2 linked regions of the Astyanax mexicanus genome follow. The protein of the gene in region 1 purifies or fractionates together with the protein of each later gene. This does not show direct contact. Links are inferred from orthologs where the notes say so. Each region holds a gene or a part of one and is shown in the gene's direction. Other genes may lie near its edges.

Region 1 (10,587 bases):
GACCACGCTAATACATTTCATCGTAGCCTACTTTATATATTTGCATGAATAATTGATGAAATTACTGTAGAAACGATAGAGACGATAGAAGGTAGACACTTTTTTATCGTCCCCACTTTTGGTAAAGTGGCTAAGTGGAACAGCAAAGCGCAATGTGCAGACCTGTACAGACCAGTGAACATACTATCTGGTGCTTACCACTTAGTATCTAGTGCTCACCACACACCAAGTAACACAGCACAGCGCAATGTAGCAGTCTGTGAAGCCATGCACAGACCAGTGAACATACTTCCTAGTGCTCACCATTTTTTATGTAAAGAAAATATGGTATATATATATATATATATATATATATATATATATATATATATATATATATATATATATATATACCATGTCATATCAGGATTTCCAAACAATAGGCAGTGAAAGTGTGAATATAGTACAGTACAGTAGTGCACTATATAAACTATATGAATGTACTCACCATCTTTTTTCTCTCTTTCCTCCGTGAGACGCTTCTGTGCCAGCTGTTCATACTCATCTTTGTCCCACTTGCGCCTAAAATCGTTCTTAGACTACAAAAAAAAAAAGAGATTTGGAGATTATTCGCTAATTAGTTAGGGTAGCCACGGCTAGCTGGGTATCCATAAACAATAAAACACCGTGACAATAACCTGTTGTCTAACATGCCAGCTATATAACGCCTACAACATATATGGTTTAGATATTCAGTTATTGTCAGCAGCTCCTTTAACAGCATTACAGATCTATAACTGTTGTTGGATAAATCATTAAATTTTCACTGAACACTGACAAATGTTTAGTTAGCTTAGCTAGCTAGCTACCTAAGCTAATGGCCACAGGAGCGTGTTTTAGCACGGTAACGTTGTAGTTTATAGTTTATTCAGCCGGCTATGTTACAGTCTATCAATTACAGCATTTACTGAATACATTAAAACAGATATAACCTTGCAGACATTAATATAACTAATAAAAAAAAAAAAACAATATAACTCACCCCACTGCCTGACGCCATGTTGCTGACCAACGAGATCTTCTTCCTGTCTGGAGAAAAACAACAAGGCAAAATAAAAGCTCTGTGGGAACTGTGTGATTAAAGTGAAGGTGAGTTCTGTGTTAATTTGTCTCATTTATTTCAATCTACACAACTTCTCACACACGGTTTGCTGAAAAAGGTAAAATAAATAAATACAATAAAATAAATAAGAATACTATAAACAAGTAACAGGCAAACACCCACCCATTCAGAAAGAACATACAAATCAAATAAGTACAGATGTACAGGAGAATGAAAAACGTGGCTGCATGTTTCCAATTAGTATGCAAAAAGAACACAATATATACAACATAAAATAAAATGTAAAAAAAATGTTAGTTTTTTTCATAGGCATTGACATTTTTTGTGGACAATATACCATCCAAGAAATGATTGTGATAAAGGATAAAAGCAACACTTTTATAGCCTTGTAAGACTATGATTGCAATTAATAATAGTTTGGGAAATAAATTATTTTTTTCTTCACCTACTGCAGTCCACACTGTGTGTATGGAGCCTTAAATACAGTTCAATGCTATATATGTGAACAAACATACAAATAAACATGCCTATTTTCAATATTGTCATTTCAAAAAATTATATTCTTTAAATATGTCAGTAATTATCAAATACGATTTCCATTTAAGTTATGGATATGTGTTACTATTTTGTGCACCGTTTATCTATTTAAAATAAACAACATCCTTACAAAAAAATGCACCAATACAAATTCAGTTCAGGTTATTATAATGGGAATACAAGATACTACTAAACACTGCTACTTAAAGGAGCAGTTTCTTTTGACTTCACAATAGCATGATAAAACAATGTAAGTGGAATACATAATTGGATAAAATATTGTTTAGAAAAACAAAACGTGAATACAACAACATTTGTTTGTGATCAATTATTACAATTAGTACAGACGACTACTTGATGATATGTATAATATGTATAATCCTTCATGTGTATATTAAGTTAAACATTAACAGATATTAATTTTCAGAGCTTCTGCTGGCTATGCTGTCTTTAATACTGTTATGTTAGTAATATTAACCCAGATTGAGCCAGTGCGTTTTTCCAAGAAACATTGGCTTTTAACATATTACCTATTTAATGTGAACAATATTTAGTGTAATCAAATTTGGAATTTTGGTTTTCAAGTAAAATATGGTTAATTTATTATAATTAACTTTTTTAGTACAACTATATTGTGCCTCTATTTTGATGAAAAAAAAAAGTGTTTACTTTAATTTATTTTTCCTTTTGTGGGCTCTAGTCAATATTGTATATGATCCAAACACCGTGCTTGTGCCTGTATTTTTTTTTTTTTTTAACTTTACTTTAAAAGGGGTCAATTTGACCGGCTACGTAACACGTGGGTTAATTGTGTAGCCCCGCCCCTTATCCACCTGATGCTGATTTAAAGGTCTTTCAAACTATGCGGCATACTAGGTGGCAGAGTCAGCATGACAGCACGGATTGAAACTGCACTTCATAGCCCTTTGGAGTCAAGGTCCAGTAGACTTACTTACTTCTGTGTGTTGTTGCTGAGTGTAGAACACTTTGGGATTTAATCTTAATCTGGTTTCCTTTTGTTTAATTTAATTTTAGGGGCCTGTCTCTTCCCTTGTGGCCAAACATTCCAGAGTTACCTCATGATTTGAGGGTCAGACCACCTCTTGAGCCAGGCAGTCCAGAGCCATGGCTTCTCCCAGGTTGCAGCTCGGTGTATGACAGCCTGGTCAGGTAAGAAGGTAAAGATTTAAGCCGTTTGTTTTAAAGAACAAATGAGCACCAAGCACTTTTGTTTTGAACGGACATTGTAATGCTTTGTATTTTGTGGTTAATTATAAAATCTGTTTGTTTTTCTGTATTGCTGTGCATTTGAATAGCTCTAGAACCCCAAGGCCGTCCTCTGTAAGTGAAGAAAGGAATACCACCTCCTCCATCATGTCCAAGCCTCGCAGGTCTTGACTTTATTTATCAGCTCTATAATTAAGAATATTGTGAATTATGTCTTGATTATGCATGGCCTCAGTGCTAATTTTTATTTTTTTTTTCCCTCTTTACAACTCTAAGTAGATCCTCTATTCTTGAGAGGTGCATTCTCAAGATATCTACAGCTAATGTGGCTGTTGGGACAGAGGATCTAGATGATATCAAGAGGTCAGGTGCAGACTTTGAAATGTGCAATTTGTTAGGGTGACTAATATTGTGAAGCCTGTTCTAGGATGTGGATTTCTCTGTGGTTATCAAAGCTAACAAACCTTCTTAGGTCACCGTCAAGACTCCGATGGTGTACTCAAAATATGGACCCATCTCATTTTGAGACCAACGAGTCGGTTTTGAAGCGCAGACAGAAGCAAATTCAGTATGGAAAGAACACCTGTGGCTACCAGAACTATCTGAAGCACGTTCCAAAGTAAGAACAGACCTACAGACCTACATACCTTTTTACTAGCCTTAAGATAATTAGGCTTGTTTTTTTACTTATTACTAGCTTTTTTTTTCTCTGTGCTATAACTTTTAGGCGCCTTCGCATCCCTGGGTTTCACCCTTCCACTCCAAACAAATACCGCAAGTACAGCCGACGGTCTTGGGACATGCAAGTCAGGCTTTGGCGGAGAGCGCTACATGCTTGGGACCCACCTTTGACTTCCCAAGGGAACAATGAAGGACAAGACCCAGTTGATCAACTGTATGTGTAGGACTGGTATTGTATTGTGTGATGTTAAATTTAGATCATAAACATTCTGCAGATGTAGTCTTATGTTTGAAGACTTGTGCTGTGTTCCATTTACCTCAGCTGTTTGAATTGAGAATTACTTGACACCAGATTGGAGCATTCCAGTATGCCATAAAATATTTTAGATAATGTTTCACTATTTAAAAAAAAAAAAAAAAAAAAGTCAGCTATAGCCTTTGGAGTTTACTGCAACTGGTTTGATTTATCATTAACATTGTCCCAGGTTGGCATTGTGCAGTATTTAATTTGAGTACCATGAAATCATGTCTGTAGATAGATGGAATACGGACAGTACAGCAACTGATTTTATGAGACGCTAATGTATAGACTTGGTGATAAACTATTTAATACGACGCTTTTATTACTCTTGACTTGCATTGCAGCCATCTTGGATTATGAATTCTTGGTTAGTGGGGTTCTCTGAACACTTCTAATAAATAAATCTGATCTGTGAACATTTCCTAATTGGATCTAGCTAATTCTTCTTTGGTTCAAATGGAATACAGCATAAGACCTTTTTAAGGAGTTTTAAGGTTAACCTGTTGCATGCTAATTCTCTTAGGCAGGACCTGCTTGAGAAAATGAATACTGAGCTGGGAGAAGAAAAGGAAAGGACGTTGGATGTATCTGACTCAAGTGCTTCTGTACTTTCTCAACCTACTGAAGGCTTAGGCAATGGCTTCTGGAAGCCTCTTGCTCCTCAAGTAAGTAGAACAGAAAAGTTGATTTATTGTGTTTGTATGAATAGGGTGTCCTGATGCATGTTCTTATTTACCTACAGGCTGATTTAACAGGCCAGCAAAGCCAGACTTCTGGACTGGGCTATTCCTTTAATAGTCATCTAACTGCTGAGGAGAATGTCCTTGGATGGCTGCGATTTCTCTTGGAGACTGACCATGCACGCAGCGAAGTTGCCCCGGAGAGTGAACAGCCACTTTGGCGATTTTACTGATTGTACCATGATGTCTTGTGTAGACCATGTGTAAAGCTTGTTTTCCAGGAATAAATAATGACCCAGGAATGGCGTCTAAGATATGATCAAACATGTACTTGGATCTTAATGTTGAACACTGAGCACGCTGATGGTAGTTTTGCATCAAAACCCCTGTAATTCAGATCACTTAACTGTTGAAACCACTAAAATTTGCACTTTTCTTTTTTTCACTACTTGCTCGTGTTTTGTTCCTTCACTGGATATTCCCTCACTAGTATAGACACTTCTTTTCCTAAAGGCACTTTTTTTGCTGTTTTGATTTTGTGAGTTTTCCTCGTCTCCCTGTTTCACTGTAGTCAGGTTGTTTGGGGGAAGATTGTTAGCCTTGTTTTGAAATTTGAGTATTTTTGTATGACTTTAAAAGTAGTGGAAAGCAAAACCAATAAAGATATGTTAAATGTTTGCCTTGGTAATTCATAAAGTCAAGAGGGCCAAGGGGTGGGGGAGCAACCATTGGTACACAAAAGTTTAAAAGGTGAAAAACTAGCAGTAGTGTCCTTCAGTGTTTTCAGTTTGACAGACGATAGTCAAATTAACTTTATTTAGCACTTTCTACAAGCCCTTTTTTTCCCTTTTAATCTATTTACATTGTACTAAAATTAATTTTCAATGGGCATATATACGGCTGAAACAGGGACCCTGGTGCATCCTAAATGTATCAAAATTAACATTTTAACATAACATATATAGCCATTATTTTTTTTAGAAAAGTGTGTTAATATAGGACCCTGTGGCACGGCCTAAGCTTTTGTCCTTAATGGCATTTATTTCCCACTGGACTGTGTTTTTGCAGTGTAGATTCAAAGCCCCAACCACTGTCAAACATTTAAATATAAATCAATAAAAATGTCATCAATGTTACAGTTTAACCCCTTCACAGGCCAGGATTTTTGCCAATTGTCTGCCTGACATTACAACACTAAATATTGAGGATTTCTATTCAAGCGTCACATGAAAAACGTTTATGTTTGATAAGGAACATTATTGAAAAACATAATTGTAATTGAAAATATTTAAGTAAATCTGCTAATGTCAAAATATAATAAATAAAATCATAAAGTTGTCTCTTTCCTGAACTTTATTTTAAATTCAATATTTTACTAAAAATGCAAATCGAACAGTTTGTCCTTCAAACCTTTAGTTTCATTATGGTTGTCTAGTTTGTACATCTATTTTTAAATCTGCAGATAATAAGATTTATTTATTACACTTATAAATGAAGCCTGTAGGCATGTTAAGGGGTTAAACACTAACCAATGAAAATTAGGCTGTGTTAAATAAAAGATTGTTTAAAGGTTGTCTTTTCCCATCAAAAAGCTAATGTAATGCAACGAAAAAAAATATATTTTAACGTTAAATCAATGTTCTCTCTCTTGCTTGTTATCAGTGTACTGTCTGTGGTGGTGGTGCTGCTGCTGCTACCTGATAGAGGAACACTAGAGGGCGTGGACGGGGGTCTGCATGGTGTGTTTCGGCGGGGGCGGGGGGGCTGGAGGCTCTGCAGATGGAAGCCACTGGATTTCTACGGGCGTTCTTATTTTCCTAGTGGGAGACGATGGGAAGGCGGTGAAATGTCGAATTTATAGCAGATATTCGTGTTGTGTTAGATCGCTCCTCACACTCCGCTCGCGGGGGTGGTTCGCGTCGGCGTGCGGCGGGTCTTCAACGTTGATTTAACGGTATGCTGGTGTTAGGTGTAGAGAACGGGGATTGACAATAGCTAACGTTACGCCATGGGTACCCTGGACGGGTAGCCCGCTAGTTCGCTAGCTAGCTGGCTAGCGTAGCTAGTTGTTGGTCTGAATTGTTTGATCTTGTGCAGCTAGGCAATGGTAGACCAACGTTAGCTGGCTAGCAACTTGCTAGGTTAGCTAGTTAGCTAACAGCTAGGCTCCACGGGCCCTGTGTGTGAGACGGCTGTGCTGGTCTCCGTCGGCGGCGAGGTAAGTCAGAATCGTTAAATGTCCTCCATGTCTTCAGCTGTATATGTATATGTATGTGTGTTATTGTGTGGCTAAAATATCAATCAATTATTATCAGAATTACACACGCCAGGCTGTTCAATCAGCCCTATTAAGATAATCGATCGTGTGGTAGATAAGTTAGATATTTATTTATCGTGCACGGTGTTTTTGCATTGTAAAATGTATTGCTTTGCATTATTGGCCTCAACTGGTTAAGCTAAGCTACGCTAGTCTATCCAAGCCGTCGCTGTATGTCCTGATTTAGCTAGGGTTGCAGGCGTTAGTGGGCCTGTGCTGCTTTCTAGGTAGCCAAGCACCCAGCCAACATAACGTTAGCTAATAATGCTCATCACGGGCTAGGTTATGGCTAGGATGTCTTTCTCGGCTAGCTGGATAGCCTTCCATTGATATGATGCTATTTTGAGGAACACCAGTTCATCCATCGTCAGTAAACCTAGGGTAGCTAGCTAGCTAGCTAACTAAATAGACACAGTATAGCTAACCTAACTAGCTTGATAATTAGTGTTGTCTATTTTGATAAGCTAGCTAGCTATGTATCGTTAACGTTAGCTAACGCTAGCTATATTTATCCTCATACGCAGACACTCATTAAGAATCTACGGTAGCTAGCGTTAGCTATTTAGCTAGCTTCAGTTGTGTGCTCTGTGACGGACCGAGCGACTAGCTTGGTGTTCCGTCGTTTTGTGCCATCCCGTTAAAACGTGCTAGTTAATTAATTACTGTTGTTATATATTTTTTATCTAACTAGCTAGCTATTTTAAAGCTTAAGTTCTAAAAAACGCTAACCTGGTTAGTTATTTGTATTATCTGGCTTATATGGCGAAAGCATCGTATCAGAATATCAAAAATGCTCCTAGATAACGTTATCTTATCATTAGGATTTTTGGGTGGCCCAATTCACTAGCCAACCTAACCTAACGCTATATCAGGGGAGCTTACGCTAATTGATATGATAGTTAAATTGTGTTTTTGTATTTTTTAATCGTCATTTCTACGTTTGTAACACTTGAGCCAATAATATTAGTAAGCTGCAATTGTTAAATGCCGACGAGAAAAAAAGGAATTCACATGAAAAACACGTGAAAACATTAAAAATATGAAGGAGGGGGGGGGGGCACAAATCGACAGAACACCGGCCGGTGTTCTGTCGATTTGTGTTACCCGTCAATTTGTGCTACGCAGCGTCTCTGCGCATGCGCTGAACAACGGCACTTAAATGTTAACGTTTTTTTTTATATATACTGATTGTGTTTTCCGCGGGCGCATTATATAATCTGAGTTTATTGTTGTACGGTTATTATTTGCTTTAATGTTACGAAAGTGTAAATGGCATTTCAAGTAAAAATAAATAAATAAAAATACAAAATACCTCACTTGGTTTATATTTATCTTTCCTTATCTTTACTGCTGTAGGCCAGTCAGATATCCTGCCTGCTGTTTTATTTAGGTAGCTTTTTCTATATTTATATATTTAACGAGGTAGCACAAATCGACAAAACACTGGACGGCCAGAGGGACTTGGTTGGATTTGTGGTCTGCTACTATTTAGCAGCTTAACTAACGCATAATGTTATTTTCCAGTAGGAATTCTTAGCTTTTTAGCTATGTCTAGTCATTTGCATATATAATATATAAGAATTTGGCTGCTGCTCTTTTGCCATTTAGCTAACTAAAACCAGAACACAGGTTTGCCCCATACTCTTAAAAAAAAAAAAAACACATAACCTGGCTAACAGATGTAGCTGGCTAGCTACTAAAGCCTGGGGTAGTAAATAATGTTTTAAAGCCAGATTTTTTTAAACTAAATGTCTGTAGAGAGCCTGGTGTTCATGCCATACAAGATAAATGTCATGCAGGATGCTATTTTACTTTTGATGTCACTTTTTATTTATTTATTTTTAATATTATTATTGTATTTTTTTTTATATACACTTATCTTCACTACTGTTTTATAACTGTCCCTTATAAGCAGCAGGAGTCCTGTATCTAGATATGCAGGCTGATGGTTTGCTCATGTTCTATGTAAATTAATGATATAAATAAGCCTAAGGATAAGAATTGTGCATAAGCCAAATGCCTTTAAAACGCTAACCAAGACGTTTCTTTCTATTGTGTCCTCCTCAGGTAATGAAGTCATCATGTTGGCCAGAGCTGCTCTGCCTGGGGAGCCTGTGCTACCTGTAATTCCCTCGGCTGGTTGACTGCTTCACTTTAGACCTTCCCGCCTGCCAAGCCATGGTTATGCTAGATGTTGAGCCGATCCCTAGTCTTGACGTTAACCTCAGCCACTGGACATCGCTCTGGTAAAGCTTGGTTTAGTATTTACTGTTTTTTGATTTCTTTAATCCAAAAGTACACAGAATTCATTCAAACCAATCCTGTTCACTCATGTCTCTGCAATGTCTCTCTTTCAGCCACTGCATGATCCTCACAGCCTCTCTGAAAACTGCTGGCCCACAGTTCAGATGGATTGATGCCTGGTAAGTATTCAGGTATCCAATTATGTGTCTAGAAGCAAGATTTGAAGACTGTAGCAAAATATTAATAAAAAACTTTCAGTAGTCCAGTAAAATCAATGTCATATTATACATACATACAGTTTAGGAAAATCCAAACCTACAAAGAATGGAGTAGTCATTCTTATCATAGGAACACTTCAACTGTGAGAGACAGAAAAAAATATAATGTATAATGTATGTATAATATAAGGGGAAAAATGTATTTTAACCCTTTGGAATTTCAGATCCTCCTCCAAGTCAAGAGTATTAACAAATATTATGTGCTTAAAAAGATACAATAATAACCATAAAAAAACTTTATAGTGCTAGTTGGAAAAGTATGGAAGTTCTTGTATTAATTACCTAAAAAAAGCTAATTAGAATCAAGTAATACACTCTTGCTAGTTTGGGGATGTGGACTTAAGCTTATTTGACTGTTTAAATCCATGATATGCCAAAAGACCTTTGGAGGATCTAAAACAGCTACAAGATGATTTCAAAGATCTTTAGAAATTCACCAGTCTACAATGAGGCAAATAATCTACGAATAGAGACAATTTGGGACCGTGGGTACTTTGCCAAGACGTAAGTGCCCAGTTAAAATCACCCCAAGAGCACAAAATACTTATCAATGAGGTAAAGAAACAACACTGAAAGACAGTTTTTAAAGGCATTGTTAGTACAGGCCAACGTCTGTGTTCTTGAGTCTACAATTTGTAAAACTTTGAACAAGGAGGGTGCCTGTGATTTAAATCTAAAGAATTCTGCTCTGACTTCTGGGATGTGCATATGGGGTCTTCTGCTTCTGCCTGTGGAGTCGCTTGCCTGTTTACACAGACAATTTTAGCCAAACACCAGTGGTCACAATCATTACCACTTATTGTTCTGTCCACTGTGGATGGTAATGCCTTCTGTGAAATGTTTCTGGTACACATGTAACACTGTGGATTGAGGAATTTTAAATGCCCGCACAGCTTCTACACAATGTCTCATCTGTTTGCCACCTGACATTAGGCCTCGCTTGCTTGCCATGAGCATGCTGGCCAGTGTTCAACCTCACGCAAAAGGTAACTTACACAGGTGTGGGTGTTCCGAAACCATTCCCTGAGGTAACACTTCAGTGATTGGCTTACATTCTGCTATACCATGACTTGTTGGTGTATATTTAAGGTGCATAAAATGCATGTGAAGTAGAAATCTTCACTCTAAAAACTTCAGTGCTATATTTTGTATTGCCAGAAGTATTTTTGTTGTTAATCGATTGTTTGTGTATAATATTATTATTCTCATGTTTCACAGAG
Region 2 (10,370 bases), on another chromosome or scaffold:
AAATGTGTTCATTATCTACATTAAAGGTGGTTGTGGAACGAATAAAGTAAGCCATGACCAAGCTTTTAGAGCCTAAAGCCTACTGCGAAAATATGGTGGTTGTGCCAGAAAAGCAACAAATTTAACTGGATTCAACTCAAAATAGTGCTTAAAGGGGTGAATGCAGAAACATCTTCAGATATATAAACAAGGATTTATATTATATATAAATATATATCGTATCAGCTCACCCCTAAAGGAAATTACTATTGATAGTGACAATGATAAAGAGTTATAGCATTTTTTTTTACTTTATAAATTTTGTTTATAATGACCACTGCCACCCATCCTGTAAAATACAGAACGTCCTTTATTTGGCGATTGGTGATTTGTTCTTTACTTCCATAAATGTCTGTGTATAATTTGATTTTTGTTTTATTATCTATTGATTTGGTGGACGTCTCTTATTTTTGTTTCTGAAAGGTGACAAGCTTAAACTTAATTTACCGAATGTACAATGTAAAGAGCCACAAAAGTATCAGGATAGAAAAATAATATTTGAACTTATTTTGCCTTTAGTAAATAAAGTATTTCCAACATTTATTTTATTTCGTATATTGTTTCCTCACTTTAATAAATAGCTCCTTAAATGTATTAAACTGTTTTCCTACTTGCTTCCTCAGTTTGTTTTATTGGATTTAGCTAATAAACTATTCCCTCAGTTTAACTAAAGCAGAGAGAGAAATTCATTAAACAAAATTAAAAAGGGAACCATTTGAGGTAAATGGGTTTAGCTGTTAAATAGCCGTGGTTACTAACTGTTATATGTTATTTTTCTACCGTGGTATTTCAGAGGCTCTATAGAAAGGGTTGCTTTAGTTTTTATTTTAAGAAGAGAGACTCATAAATACAACCCGTGTGTCATGCTATTACACGGCTTCACACTGACTGACACAGCGAAATATTACTGTTTTATAAATAATTGAAAAGCGTAACCTTCTCACTGAACTTCTGAATTTGTTTATTATACAATAACAGACCGTATTTGATAGCTGTCACTCGTTTTCTAAACAGCGAGTAGCAGATAAACACAATTTATCCGGCGAGTTAGCGTTAGCTTTCCTAACCCAACATAGCTAAAGCTAACTTACCTAACTAACTAGCAAGTTATGTGGTGAATTTATAGAGCCGTTAGCGGTTAGCCCGCACTGAGGTCCTGTGACAGAAGGATAGTTGGGTGTTATAGTGCCGATTAAGCGAATTTTTAACGCATAAAGAGGAATATTTACCTGAGAGAAGTGTAGAAACCCGTAGTTAAACTACAGAACCGAACACTGTTCATACCTGCTGCTGCTCTCTGTCGCCATAACAAATCTCCCGCTACTTCTCTGGGCAGGGAAGAGTAATGGATGTCAGATCGTTTTTTAATTATTATTTATTTCGATATACTTTTAGTTTTAATATAATGAACTCAGTTCTGCTGATCTGTCACTGTGTTTAAATAGGACACTGTTTTTTAAACATTATTTAATCCACTATTTTATTTTCTCGGGTCTCAACTATTGTAGTTTTAAATGCGAGGCATTTCAGCGCAGTCACGTCGAAAAAAACTACAACTCCCATGGTGCCGTCACAATTCTCCGCAGGGAAAATAATAGAGAAAAGAGCAGCAGGATACGGGATACCGTTCACCTTACACTTTAAAGTAGTATTATAGCTACACTATATATTTCCTAATGCTTATGGACACCATATGTGTACAGATGAATAAATGCACAAACTTAGCTTGTTCAGACCCAGCAGAGAAGATCTGCCAACAGAATAGGGACAGAACAGGAGACTCTGTGGAACAAAGGAACAAATATTAACTTGTTGATTACTCATTGGTTTCAGCTGCAGCAACACTGCGTTCTGATCCACTCCTTTACGCACACCCCAAAGAATAACAGAACTTTACCTTTTGGCTATTATATAGTACATTTTCTGCACTTAAGTATTACAAAAGTTTATTGTAAACTGTGTTACTGAAGTACTAAAAGTAAAAATACAGTACTGTGTTATGTAGTTACAGTACGTACTGAAAGCAGTGAAAAGTTCCCAGGGTGAAAGTTCAGAATGGGAGCAGTGTTGTCTTCTTCTAAGATTAGCTTGATCTCTTGGTTCCTTCAGCGATGAGCAGCTTTATCAAACCCGGTGACAATGCAGAGCATCTACCACTGATAATGGCTGATAATGTGTGAAATAATGCATTTTCAAATCGCTGGGCTTGTTTATTTGTAGGACCGCGTCTATGTCTGTGTGCCTATGGGATCCAGTGCCCCCCAGTGGTGTTTAATGACTAGTTAGCTAACCTAGCTAACTAGATAACCTAGCTAACTCTAATGCTAACACTAAACCAGACTTATCAATCTAGCTTACTTTAACTAACGCTAACACTAAACCGGACACTTATCAAACTAGCTAACCTAGCTAAACTAGCTAACATATCCGTGTTACCTGCGTTACCTGCCTCTGAACAAGTTTATCTTCCTAAAGATCTTGGTAACAAGACACATGCCACAAAATATTTTTTTTCACATATTTCGAGTTTTGTTTTTCATGGTAGTGTAGCTGAACTTATCCCATAAATCATGTTTATTCAGAAAGTGGGAGAGGAGGAGCTGCTGTGTGAATCGGCTGTGTGGGGTATAGAGTAAGGGCCTTGGGGGAACCGGTCATAAATTTATAAAACGAACTAAGTTTTTTGAAGTTTATAGAATTAATATCTTACCAGGGATGGTCATGCCAACAGAATCATAACAGTAATTAGGTTGTTTTTCCTCTACCAGCACTGGAATACTATTGCTTTCAACTGAAAAGAAAAAAATCATAAGACTGACACTTAAAACAAATCTTTTTTGAGCGGCTGCCCTGTTGTATAAAGCAAATGTCATCAGTAGTGAAGAAAAGTATTTCATCAGCCCAACTCCAAGTATCTGCCCCAAAGCAGTTGTGACAGGTAGAGTTTGCCAAAAGTGGTTGAAATCTGGTACTAGAAGAGACTTGTGCAACGCTGCTTTAGGATGTGAACAGACATGTTTACAACAAAGCTAGTAATGACTGAACTCTCCATATTGGCCAGACTCAGTGGGTTATGAGGCATAGAGCAAGATCTCACTCACTGCACTGCATAAAAACATAATCTGGGTTAATGGAGTGTATGTTTACCAGCATCAGGAAAATCTGCAAAGACTAAAATCAAGAAGAAAGTTAGTGGTCATTCCTTTTTTTAGGCTACTGTAAACAAAACAGCATTTTAGATGTGCAACACATTCCAGAATTAAAATTGTTACATGCCTTAAAACTTAACTATGCAAAAAAAAAAGGCTTATATTAAGTTAGAAGCCATGGGTGAGTCTAAGCTCTAGGTTCTGAGCACCTAATGAACACAGCCTCACTGCACAGGAGGGGTGCGTGTTTCATATCAAAAGAAATTCCTTTAGATTCAAATCAGACACACAAACTATTATGCACAGAGGACATGTGTTACTTTCATTCTAAAACATGTATTCACCAAATGCACGCACACACACACACACACACACACACACACACACACACCAGGTGGGACATTACCTGAATCTTTTTCTGTTATTCTTTAACATTAATTAGCTGTTACACAAACAGGCAGTACTAGTCTAGCACACTGTCTTTAATATTAACACACAGAGCAACTAATGGCAGCAGAGCAAGTCTCTTGCACACACAACAGTGGACAGTGGCTGATAATCAGTCTATAGCATAAGCTAAATAATAAAAGTCTCAGATATTAACAGCATATAGAGTGCTGCTTAATTTTGTGTGTGTGAGAGAGCAAAATAAAAAGTTACTATTTGCACTGCATGGTATTTTCATTAATAAAATTCTGTTTAATAGTCAACTTTCTAAGATGTTTATATTTTTAGCTCATGAGACATAAACTTTAATCTGAGAAACAACAAAAACAATACTTTTTGCAGTGCTGGGTCAGCTATGCCACCAGTGGCATCAATGTATGTGGACTTGGAAGCATCTGGGGTGGACCACCACACAGTGGTAATGTGTTCTTTTCCAGAAGAAAGAATTCCATACTGGATCTGCAGGTAAGGCAAAATAGGATTTTGACACAACACCAATTATTTTATCTTCTGTATTGTTTAAATGTTGATGTTCTATAGAGACGTCTGTGCATTTTTAAACAAGACAATGAAAAAAAACACTTGCTGCACACATTATTACAAAACATGGTCATGGAAGAAGTGGGTATGGATACTGGACTGGCCTGGGTGCAGGCCTAACCTGTTAACAATAGATAGATCAATTAGAAACAGAAAAATGCAACAATGACTTTCTTGTAATGTTGTCAGGAAGAATGGGACAAAATACCACCTAAAACATTTAATTGCCTGGAATGCAGCACCTATAAGGAATTGCATTAATACAAAGCAGGTGTTACAGGCATGAAATGCAGGAATGGATGCATAGCCTTACCAAACATTAAACATCTTGGGTTCATTCTGTCTGCAATCAAATGAGATGAAAGTGAGAATAGAAGTAAAAAACACTGCATGTTTTGGGGGGGTTATGCATTTTACATACCATCTCAACTTTGTTTTAAATTAAAGGTTGTACATAGTCAGCAGGTAAACCTGTCAGACACCTGGACCCTCGTTACTGAAGTACCACAAGCTTGTGTGCACTCGTGCCTTCTGTTAAATCTGTACACCAATCACTGTGTTTCCAAGGAACCATCCATGACAACCATGATGTTTGTAGATCATGTCACTGTGGTCAACCTCCAAACCAAGAATGAAGAGTCTCCTTACAGAAAGGAAGTCAAGCAGCTGGTGTCTTGGTGCAGTCCAGGCCACCTGTTGCTGACCCCACAAATGACCTGATGTGGTGGTAGACTTCAGACACACTTACCTTCACTCCCCCTCTTCTGTGGATTTACATAAGTGTCTGGGCATCACCCTCTTCAAGGACCTGAAGGGGGATGGAACATGGTCTCCAGAGCGCAGCTTTGTGAGACAGCCTGAGCAAATTCCACTTGCCACAGACCCTAAGGACCCATCCCTACATAGCCATCATCATATTTATTTTCACATCATGTTCATTCATTCATTAAATCCTCTTTACTAGAATGAGACACATTCCAGTGCATTATCAGTATAGCAGAGAGGATGGCTGGGTGTATTCTGCCAAAACTTCAGTATTAAGATATCAGCAAGGTCAAGAAGTGCACTTGCAAGATTATATCTGTCCCCTCTTGTCCTGGTGACCCCCTCCTTCAAACACTTCCCTCTTGTAGAAGATTAAGAGCTATCAAAGCTAGCACAAATGCCGCTAACATGTCATCAACTGTAGAAAAAGACCTGGCAACTCTCTCTTTTTCATGCACAGTTTACAGCTTAAGTTAATGTATTATTTTCTTCTGAATATTTGTTAATAGCATGTGTATCTGTTCGTTCTGGACTGGGTTTTCCTACAGTGTAAGTAAGTAAGTAAGAACACAGATTATTCCTAACTCTCTCTCTCTCTCTCTCTCTCTAAGATTAACCTAATCCTGAGGTTCTGTTTAGACGACAGTATGGCACACATCATCATTCCATGCATGTGATTTCAAGAATATAATAATAATAATTTTATTATTCTAAAAATTTTAAATGGCCATTTATGTACATAAATGTAAAATTATAAATATTACTTTTTTCTTCTTTTTGTTTTGCTATTGATTATGGTCTATTTATCTTTAAGTAAACAAAACTAATCTTTAAAAAATTATCAATAATTAAAAAAAAGTTAAAAGTTATTTTATTGTATCAATAAATATTGTATGGTTTATGTGTTATACTGTGTTCTTATTATGTCTGTTTATTCATTGACAGACAAAAGTTACAACCAAAATATGTTACAAATACAGCACACGTTTTCAAAAAACTATATATATATATACATATACATTTTAATAATAACACATTTTAAATGTGTAATATTTAAATATATATAACTGAACAGACATAAAAGTGAAAATCATAGTTGTCAATTTCATTTCATGGATAAAATATTTTTTTTCCAATTTAAATGAATAGATAAAACAAGTAGCAAGTATCCTTACTGCAGTCATTATAATAAAATAAAATACAAAATGGACAATAAAATTATATATTTTATAGTGTTTAGTTTTGACCCATATCCTAAATGGGATCATTTCTAAAAATATTTGAATGGACACAGTTAAAGAATACTATATGATGTTTAACACATATATACAAAACCTTATTTTAATGAATGTAAACAACTGTTAGCTTTCGAGCCCTGAGGACTTTAATATACGACACATTTTAAAGCAGCACATCTCCCATGATCCTTTGCCGCTATCGCCTGGATTTCAAATCGCGAGAGCCAATCACAGGCGGGTCCGTGGCCACAGCCAATCAGAGGCGGTGCTCCGGCGAGAGCCAATCAGAGGCGGCGATAACGAATAAGGGCCGAATTTAAAAATGTTGTGTTGGTGCTGCGCTGAGAGACGCTGAGCGGGGACGGGGGTTGTAGAGAGAAGAAGCGGACAGGCGGACAATTTAGCGAGTTTCTGTTTAAAATACCCCGCTTACATTAACAGAAACTGGTGTACCCGAGTGGATTTGTGCTGGCTTGTGTGTTAAACCGGTTCAGGCGCGCTTAGTTCGGTTAGTTTTTATTCGAATTGCTCGGCCGGGCGGCTCGCCCTGTCTGTCCGGGTCTGAACTCGCTGTTTTCTGTTAGCAGTGTCGCAGAGATCCGTGTTTTGTTCGTGTTTCTCTTTAAATTAGCGTTATTTTGAGAGCGTATTCAGTATGAGCGCTGCAGTGGCGAAGGCGCCGAAGCCTTCGGTCAACGTAGACCCGAAGTCTGCGCCCCTGAAAGAGATCCCAGACATCCTGGTGGATCCGCGGACCATGAAGCGCTACATGCGGGGCCGGTTCCTCGGGAAAGGCGGCTTCGCTAAGTGCTACGAGATCACAGACATGGAGACGAAGGAGGTGTTCGCCGGTAAAGTGGTGCCCAAGTCTCTGCTGATGAAGCCGCACCAGAAGGAGAAGATGAGCACGGAGATCGCGATCCACAAGAGCCTCGACAACCCGCACGTCGTGGGCTTTCACGGCTTCTTCGAGGACGACGACTTCGTGTTCGTGGTGCTGGAGATCTGCAGGAGGAGGGTGAGTTATCCTCGCTTAGTTTAGCTGAGTGGGAGTAAAATATAAAGTGATTTTTTAAAGCTTTAGAAACACGTAATAACTGAGGCTAGCTTCACTAGCAAACTGGCTAATCTATCAAACCTAGCTTAAGTTAGCTGTCTCTCAGTCCTCACCAACGGTCGAATTCCTCAGTGAGGGTTAGTTAGCATTAGCCGGTTAGCTAACTGTTTGTTAGCTCTGAGAGGTGTGAAACCTCACTACTGTAAAGTTTAAATGTCATGAATATTATAACAGTGAGAAATTGGTGTCTGTAAGTGGGGTTAAAGTGTTTGTGGGTGTTTTTAAGAACCGTTTTGACCGGCTGTATCCGAGCCTCCTTTCCGAGATGTGGATTTTAAATGTGAGGATGTGACGTCAGAACCTCGACCGAGATGTTTGAAAATTTTCGTGAACTTTTTTTTCGCCCGTCAAAATCGTTAAATATAGTAAATAATGCTCAAGTTTCCACTTGAGAAGTATTTATAATACAGCATATTATAAATGCTATATGAAATACTTTTGTCTTGTTGGTGTTTCCTGCTGGTGTTTTCTCCTTTTTATTAGCTAACTTATCTGTTCTTCCTATTTATTATGTTTTTAACTAACCTAGATATATTGAGTTATATATATTTGCTGTTGTGGTGGAGTCGAAGTTGAACTTTAAGTCGCATTGTAATTTAGTAAAATGTAAAAAAAAATCACCATCTTTGTGCAGGGATTGTATGGTCATGAAAAACCTGGAAAAAACTTAAATATCAGTTTCCAGACCTAAATTAGTTTTGGAATACTAAAGAGAATTTTGAAAGTCATGGTCTACAAATCTGTTTCCATTTATGTATGGAGTATCTATTTCGAGCTAAGAAATGCCTCAGCTCAAAGTTTTTTTAAGTAATTTAGCCCTACACAGTAGAGCTTTTTGATTTTTTTTTTTGTTATTATAGTTTTGTAATTGTATTTTCTTTAGATGCATGTAAAAATACATTTAGGCTGTGTAACTCATGCAGTGGTAGGGTATTTTTTAAATAAAGTGTTTAGTTTTTACAGTAATGCATTTATGAACGTTTCCAGTTTTGCTGTAGATGCAGCAACTGGCTGGGGCACAGCCTTGACCTATTAGACACTTTTGACATGTTTAATTTCTTTTTTCTTTTAGAAACATGGAGAGAAATGACATTAGGTTATTTTATTTTTGCAGTTTGAAGGTGTAAAACATAGTTTTGTCAATTTCCATATCCCCTAAAGCTGCAAGTTTGTAACACGACAAGTTTTATTGTCAGGATTATATTTATCTTTAAGTAAGCAAAAACGTTAACACTATCAACAAGCTTTTTGTAATAGCCCTACAGCAGTGTCCCTATGCTGCTTCTTTGCTGATAATTATTTTATTATTTTAATATTTTTTTCCCCTTCCATTGTTCTTCTGTTAGTCTCTTCTGGAGCTGCACAAGCGCAGGAAGGCAGTGACTGAGCCTGAAGCAAGGTACTTCATGCGGCAGACAATCCAGGGAGTTCACTACTTGCACAACAACAGAGTTATTCATCGTGATCTTAAACTTGGAAATCTTTTTCTTAGCGATGATATGGAGGTGAAGATTGGTAAGCAGGCAAATTTGCTCACAACTTTTTGCCTAAAGTACAGTTCGACTTTACTCGTTACTTTATCCTATAACGCTTTGTTCTCTCCCAAGGTGATTTTGGTCTGGCCACTAAGATTGAATTTGATGGTGAGCGGAAGAAGACCCTGTGTGGCACTCCAAACTACATAGCCCCTGAGGTGCTGTGTAAAAAAGGGCACAGTTTTGAAGTTGATGTCTGGTCACTGGGTTGCATTCTGTAAGTCTGCTTCAGAATTTCTTGTGTTTTTACATTTTAAAAATGTTTATTGAACACTTTTTTTTTATATCCCAACATTTGTATGTACAAACAAAGCATATTGTTTCTCAGCATTGCTATTCTCATCATAAACTTGCATCATATCTGCAATTTTTAGGTTGTGCATGACTTCTGGCCACTTCACCATCACCATGACTTCACCATTATAGTGGCGTCTACAAGCAGGCTTTAAATTCACACATTACTAATCATAATGTTTCTGTTAGGTACACACTGCTGGTTGGTAAACCTCCATTTGAGACGTCATGCCTAAAGGAGACATATGTCCGCATCAAAAAGAACGAGTACTCTATCCCCAGGGTTGGTAACACTTCTAGTTCTTCACACTTTGATGCTTAGCTCCAGTTTGTGGCGGCTTCTAAAGGTTGTTTAAGGATTACATACGGTGCAACCCCGTAGTGTGCTGATGGAGAATAACAAAAAAGTTGGTGTCCTTAATGCTCACGTGTTGCTCAAGAACTTTGTTGCCACCTGAGGGGTCACCTGAGGTGATAATTGGCTTGGGTCTTCTGTATGGAAGTGATGTATGATATTTAATTTGCATGAGGGCAATGGGTTCTTTACCTTAAGGTACTGTTAGAAAACCTGTAGTTCCCAAACATTTGTGGATGTCCAAGTGACGTAAATTATGTTTTGGACATTACGAAAAATCAAGTAAACTTACTCCAGCTACAATGCTTGATATCTGAATTTTACAGAAGTCTACAAGGAGAGTGCTACACTAACACTGCTAAACAGCCAGTCTCGCAGAAATAATAAACGCTCCATTGCCCCGAAAAAGACAGTACCTAACAAAACCGCACCAGCCAGGAAAATTAGCTATGAGCTGTCTTGGCGTTAAACTACTTACTGACATCATTTAAAAAAAATATATTTAATTCATTACAATTTTTGATCTGATTGCTTGTTGGCATTACACTGACAATAACTTTCACTTTTTTTTTTCTTTTCTTTGTAGCAAATTAATCCAGTGGCGGCTTCACTGATTCGTCGAATGTTGCACGCAGACCCTACTCTCCGACCCTCAGTAGCAGACCTGCTTACAGACGAGTTTTTCACCTCGGGATACGTTCCCCTCAGGCTTCCTACCTCTTGCCTTACTGTGCCTCCCAGGTTCTCCATCGCCCCATCTAGTTTAGACCCTGGCCTGCTCCGTAGACCTCTCACTGCATTGAATACTGGTATGCTTGTCTTGTTTATTTTAGTGTGAATCGTGTGCCTTTAGGTTAAACAGTGAATGAATTTTTCTTCATTTTAGTTTAG

Evidence for each region.
Region 2: the proteins of fam53c (region 1) and plk1 purify together in Homo sapiens (affinity purification with mass spectrometry; 3 studies listed by BioGRID and IntAct, counting the BioPlex papers as one, with this or other methods). This does not show direct contact. The link is inferred for Astyanax mexicanus from reciprocal best matches to the Homo sapiens genes FAM53C and PLK1.

Annotation. Positions count from the first base shown.
Region 1 is NC_064424.1:10,760,911-10,771,497, forward strand, and holds the start of fam53c (protein FAM53C), read left to right. Parts: upstream 1-6,278; 5' UTR 6,279-6,746; intron 6,747-8,912; 5' UTR 8,913-9,091; intron 9,092-9,202; 5' UTR 9,203-9,261; coding exon 9,262-9,268; intron 9,269-10,585; coding exon 10,586-10,587. Other genes in the region: zmat2 (zinc finger matrin-type protein 2), read right to left, coding at 488-578, 1,022-1,039; slbp2 (stem-loop binding protein 2), read left to right, coding at 2,530-2,576, 2,675-2,809, 2,956-3,030, 3,143-3,229, 3,339-3,485, 3,594-3,761, 4,372-4,513, 4,591-4,761.
Region 2 is NC_064428.1:16,134,088-16,144,457, reverse strand, and holds the start of plk1 (serine/threonine-protein kinase PLK1), read left to right. Parts: upstream 1-6,503; 5' UTR 6,504-6,833; coding exon 6,834-7,196; intron 7,197-8,641; coding exon 8,642-8,810; intron 8,811-8,902; coding exon 8,903-9,047; intron 9,048-9,313; coding exon 9,314-9,407; intron 9,408-10,065; coding exon 10,066-10,288; intron 10,289-10,370. UniProt on the Homo sapiens protein: Serine/threonine-protein kinase that performs several important functions throughout M phase of the cell cycle, including the regulation of centrosome maturation and spindle assembly, the removal of cohesins from chromosome arms, the inactivation of anaphase-promoting complex/cyclosome (APC/C) inhibitors, and the regulation of mitotic exit and cytokinesis.